Linked DNA regions of Arabidopsis thaliana. The protein of the gene in region 1 purifies or fractionates together with the protein of each later gene. This does not show direct contact. Each region holds a gene or a part of one and is shown on either strand. Other genes may lie near its edges.

The links. Proteins that work in one complex are often made in the same cells at the same time.
Region 2: the proteins of CRR42 (region 1) and ndhI purify together in Arabidopsis thaliana (affinity purification with mass spectrometry, with the first as the bait; one study listed by BioGRID). This does not show direct contact.

The regions. Positions count from the first base shown.
Region 1 is NC_003076.8:7,101,736-7,104,503, reverse strand, and holds CRR42 (DUF3148 family protein), read right to left. Parts: upstream 1,121-2,768; 5' UTR 1,057-1,120; coding exon 806-1,056; coding exon of another isoform or gene 769-805; intron 674-768; coding exon 559-673; downstream 1-558. Other genes in the region: AT5G20940 (Glycosyl hydrolase family protein), read left to right, coding at 1-428; TSL (Protein kinase superfamily protein), read right to left, coding at 1,534-1,629, 1,729-1,893, 1,971-2,025, 2,123-2,387, 2,472-2,682, 2,763-2,768. UniProt on the Arabidopsis thaliana protein: Required for both formation and activity of the chloroplast NAD(P)H dehydrogenase (NDH) complex of the photosynthetic electron transport chain.
Region 2 is NC_000932.1:118,708-121,518, reverse strand, and holds ndhI (NADH dehydrogenase subunit I), read left to right. Parts: upstream 1-1,756; coding exon 1,757-2,275; downstream 2,276-2,811. Other genes in the region: ndhA (NADH dehydrogenase subunit 1), read left to right, coding at 1-62, 1,143-1,672; ndhG (NADH dehydrogenase subunit 6), read left to right, coding at 2,612-2,811. UniProt on the Arabidopsis thaliana protein: NDH shuttles electrons from NAD(P)H:plastoquinone, via FMN and iron-sulfur (Fe-S) centers, to quinones in the photosynthetic chain and possibly in a chloroplast respiratory chain.

The sequences.
Region 1 (2,768 bases):
CGCAAGTTATCTACAATCAAAACCCCGACACCAATTTCGTCAAGGCCGGTGACTTCGATTACGCAATCGTGGCCGTCGGAGAGAAACCGTACGCGGAGGGATTCGGAGACAGTACGAACTTAACCATATCGGAACCAGGTCCGAGCACGATCGGGAACGTGTGCGCATCGGTGAAATGTGTGGTGGTGGTTGTATCGGGACGTCCGGTGGTGATGCAGATTTCGAACATCGATGCTCTAGTGGCGGCGTGGCTTCCGGGAACGGAAGGTCAAGGAGTGGCTGATGTTTTGTTCGGAGATTATGGATTCACCGGGAAATTGGCTCGGACGTGGTTTAAGACAGTGGATCAGTTGCCGATGAACGTTGGTGACCCGCATTACGACCCGTTGTACCCGTTTGGATTCGGGTTGATCACTAAACCAAATTAACGGTTTTCGATTCGGTAATTTCGGTTCATTAATAAGATTGTTGCGCCAAAACTTAAAATGGCAAAATGTTAAAATAATAATTCGTATTTTTCTGTTGCTTATACAATTTTAGAGACATGATCTCAAATTCTCAATCACTATCTCCTTCGTCAAGCTCTAAAGCTTTGAAATATTTACCATCTAAAAGATATGTTCCAATGGAGAGTCTAACTGCCCACAAGTCCTTTGGTTTTCTCGACACGATTCTGCAAAAACAATAGGATAAGAAAGAAGAGAAGTAAAATTAAGCTAATTTAATTGGCAAGAAAACACTGTTTAGATGATTAGTCTGAGTTTTGTCTTAAAATCTGTATAAAATAGAAGAAGAAGAAGAAGACCTTCCAACATCGCCAGGCTTGACCAAGCCAGAGTTGGCCCTAAGGCAAGGCATTGAAGCGGCCGTTTTTATAACTTTGGGAGCTTCGACGATGATGATCGGTGATCCTACTTGGAGCTTCGATTTTGGTCGTGGAGCCTCGTTTGCGATTTCACAGCATCTCACACTGACTCGTTGCGTGAAGGATCCACTGTGCCATATGCCATATTGCATCTTGGAGAATCTAGTTGAAGAAACAAAAGATAAAGCCATGGAAGAAGAAGCCAGCAAGTGTGAGTTTTTTAGTGGTATGAGTGGGGGGATAAGTAGACTTTTGTCTCGTAGTAGTTTACTAGCAAGCCAATGATTTTCAATCTTCGGTTTTGTCTTGGTTTACTCTTCGGTTTAGTTCAGTTCCAGTCCAGTATTCTCCAGCCGGATTTGTTATATTTCTTATTTCTTCAATTGATCACATTTCATATTGTCTTAAACCTGAGAAGCAAGAACGATTTGGGGCCTGTTTCCAACTTTCAGCTTTCTTCTATTATAAAACATGAAGAATATACATAACATGTTACATAATAAAAGGAAGACAAGACACATTAACTTCACCCGAAATTAATATGGTTCAAGGGGCCGGGAGATAAAATATTTAGACAAACAAAACAGAAACTTTATAAGCTATACCAAAAAATATTCTAGGATCTGGTCTTTTAGCATCTCTGGTTTGTTTTTGAAGACTACACAATCTCACTTCTTAGAGTAGGCAAGATATGGATCCTGTGCCATTGTTAGAACATCCGGCCTATCTTCTTGGTTATATGTTAGACACCGTCGAATCAAATCCTGCAGAAAATGCAAAAGTGAGAACATGGAGAGACAGTTTCATGACTATTTGGTACTACTTTACTTAAACCATGTTTAAGACCGGTACAGTTAATTTACCTTCGCTTCATTTGAGATGGCAGGTCTTGTTACTGGGAACTCAACCTTTTTGGCTTTAATGATTGTGTCTTCTCTTAGTATCCGTTCTTGGCTTTGGTCATGTCCAAAAGGTCGCTTTCCAAACAGCATTTGGTAAAACAGAACACCAACTGACCATACATCAACCTGAGTTTCAACACAATTTAGTACCACAAAACTTCTATAAGATAATCAGATTATGACATCATTGACCAATCACTGACCTTTGATGAGATCATAGGAGTTTTGTTAAGCTCAAAGCATTCTGGGGGCAAGTACCTATATTATAGAACCTTGTTAGCTATAAGATGTCCGGAAGTAGAAGAGACAAAAATAATATAGACCATATCAAGGAGACAAAAACTAGATTGCTCACCAGTATGTTCCAGCTCCCTGTGATGTAAGCTCCATTCCTTGAGAACCAACATTGTCCTCCACTATCTTGCTTAGACCAAAATCAGTTACTTTTGCTACTCCAAACTCATCAAAGAGAACATTACCAGGCTTCAGATCATAGTGGATTATCTTCTGTGACTTTTTGTTCAGATATACAAGGCCTTGAACTATTTGCACAATGATAATCCTTGCTTCTTTCTCAGGAAGATTAGATGTTGCCTTTAATACAGCATCAAGGTCTTTCCCTGCATTAGAAATTCAAAACATAAGAGTGAGAACTCAGAACTGTACTCCAGGATCTACAAAGGAATAGGAGAATTCTGATTTACCACTACAATATTCCAGAACGGTGCAGAATGTATGCATGTCGATATGAAATTTATCCCAAAGCCGAACAATGTGGTGATGCACAAGACTTTTATGGATCTCACATTCCCTGTTGGCATGGCGGATGTAACTTTGCTTCTTTTCTTCACTCCACTGAGCATTTAAACCATGAAGCTTGCACGCAACATATCTATGGTCCACCAAATCATATGCCTGCTTAAAATCCATAACATCATATTACTGCAAAATAATTCTCACATGTAAAAGAATGTAGTATCTATCAATGTTCTGACCTTATA
Region 2 (2,811 bases), on another chromosome or scaffold:
TGCTGCCCAATCGATTAGTTATGAAATACCATTAACTCTATGTGTTTTATCAATATCTCTACGTGCGATTCGTTGAAACAGAAACGTTTATTTTTACTATTCCGTTTCTTCTAGACGAATCAGTTAAAAAACGGAATATATATTTATCTTTCGAATTAATCGAAATAATTAATAAAAGGAATTTGATAGTTATATATGAGTGAAAAAAAAACTGCTCTGAAATTTGCAGTAAAACGAAAAATGAGTCTCATTTCCTATGTACAAAGGTTAAACGGAAATAAACATAAGTGTAAGAATCACTTTACCCCAAGGTTGGTTGATTAGTCATCCTGACTTGAAGCGGGTTAAATATATTAACCGGTAACCGGATGACGTTTTCACTATCAGTTATATAGATTAACATACATGTATTACAAAGTGAGCGGCAATTAGGTAAAAGTGAGTGGATGGTTAGAAACACCAAAATACACAAAGAATTTGTAATAGAGATTAACCAAATTGAAAAGGATATTTAGGCCTAACATAAGATAAAAAAAAGAAGGTTAATTGGGGCTTTAAATTAGTAGAAATGATCAGACAGTACTCCCCAAGATTCCGATTCAGAGTATGCTCCTATCCACCGACAAATGTAATGACTATCAGAAACGAAATAATCCTTTATTTTTTATAAGTCTACCAACTTTTTTCTAAAAAAGAAAGAAGAATAGGAACGAAACAAGGCTCTTTTTTTTTTCATATATTTCGAAAATAAAATCGAATTTCTGTCATGAATAATAAAAAAATAGGATGTCTAATTATTTTTCGTAATCGAAAACCACGATGGGCTTAAATACTTTTTTTTTTTAGGAGTTTTTTATTAAAGGGTTAAGTTATTACTCAACAAATAGAAATTCAAATTTGTAAAGGGGTGAGATGAATTCCGAAGCGCGTTTTTTATTCTTAGAATTTGAGCAGACAGAATTCCATTGGTATAATTCGGGACCCCAGATATATTTAATCCATTTTAGAACACATCATATCCATCTAAATTATAATCTGGTCCTTAGATTTATTTATGGCCCCCGAGGAGCCGTATGAGGCCAAGACCTCATGTACGGTTCTGAAATAGCGGTGAAAATAGTAATGTTCTCGCCGACTAGGATTATCTAACAGTTTAAGTACAGTTGATATAGTTGAGGCACAATCAAAATATGGTTTTTGGGGATGGAATTTGTGGCGTCAACCTATAGGTTTTATCATTTTTCTAATTTCTTCCCTAGCAGAATGCGAGAGGTTACCGTTTGATTTACCAGAAGCGGAAGAAGAATTAATAGCAGGTTATCAAACTGAATATTCAGGTATAAAATTTGGTTTATTTTACGTTGCTTCTTATCTAAATCTATTAATTTCCTCATTATTTGTAACAGTTCTATACTTAGGCGGTTGGAATATTTCTATTCCGTATATATCTATTCTGGAGCTATTTCAAAGGGATCAAATTTTTGGAACAACAATTGGTATCTTTATTACATTAGCTAAAACTTATTTGTTTTTGTTCGTTTCTATCGCAACAAGATGGACTTTACCTAGGCTAAGAATGGATCAACTATTAAATCTTGGATGGAAATTTCTTTTACCTATTTCCCTTGGTAATCTATTATTAACCACTTCTTTCCAACTCTTTTCACTCTAAATTTAAAATGAATCTAATATATTCATTATTTGTTTTAAACAAGAGACAGAAACAAAGATAAAATTATTCAGAGATAATTACAATATGCTTCCTATGATAACCGGGTTCATGAATTATGGTCAACAAACCCTACGAGCTGCAAGGTATATTGGTCAAGGTTTCATGATTACCTTATCCCACACAAATCGTTTACCTGTAACTATTCAATATCCCTATGAAAAATTAATAACATCGGAACGTTTCCGCGGTCGAATCCATTTTGAATTTGATAAATGCATTGCTTGTGAAGTATGTGTTCGAGTATGTCCTATAGATTTGCCTGTTGTTGATTGGAAATTGGAAACTAATATTCGAAAAAAACGATTGCTTAATTACAGTATTGATTTTGGAATTTGTATATTTTGTGGTAATTGTGTTGAGTATTGTCCAACAAATTGTTTGTCAATGACTGAAGAATATGAATTTTCCACTTATGATCGTCACGAATTGAATTATAATCAAATAGCTTTGGGTCGTTTACCAATGTCAGTAATTGACGATTACACTATTCGAACAATTTGGAATTCACCTCAAACAAAAAATGGGGTAAACCCTTTAATTTGATTAAAAAAAGAATTCCAAGTTGTTGAATTATATTTATATAAAGAATTTAATTAAAAACTTGTATTGTATTTATATAATAATAATAATATTAAGTATTAAGGCACATTCTTTTAATATAATATATTCGTAATTACTTTCTTGAAATTGATAGGTTGAAAATACACTTTAGAAAAAAAAAAAGAGAAAACAGCCTAATACTAATAATTGTATCTACATCAATTCATATCCATTAGATTCTAATTTCACTCTATTTAGAAACATATAAAAAACAAATTTCCTGGTTAAATTAATAAGGTCATGAAAAGGATTTCGATTTTTTCTTATTTTAATAATATAATGGATTTGCCTGGACCAATACATGATTTTCTTTTAGTTTTTCTGGGATCCGGTCTTCTAGTAGGGGGTCTGGGAGTGGTATTACTTCCCAACCCAATATTTTCAGCCTTTTCCTTAGGATTTGTTCTTGTTTGTATATCTTTATTGTATATTCTATCAAATTCCCATTTTGTAGCTGCTGCACAACTCCTTATTTATGT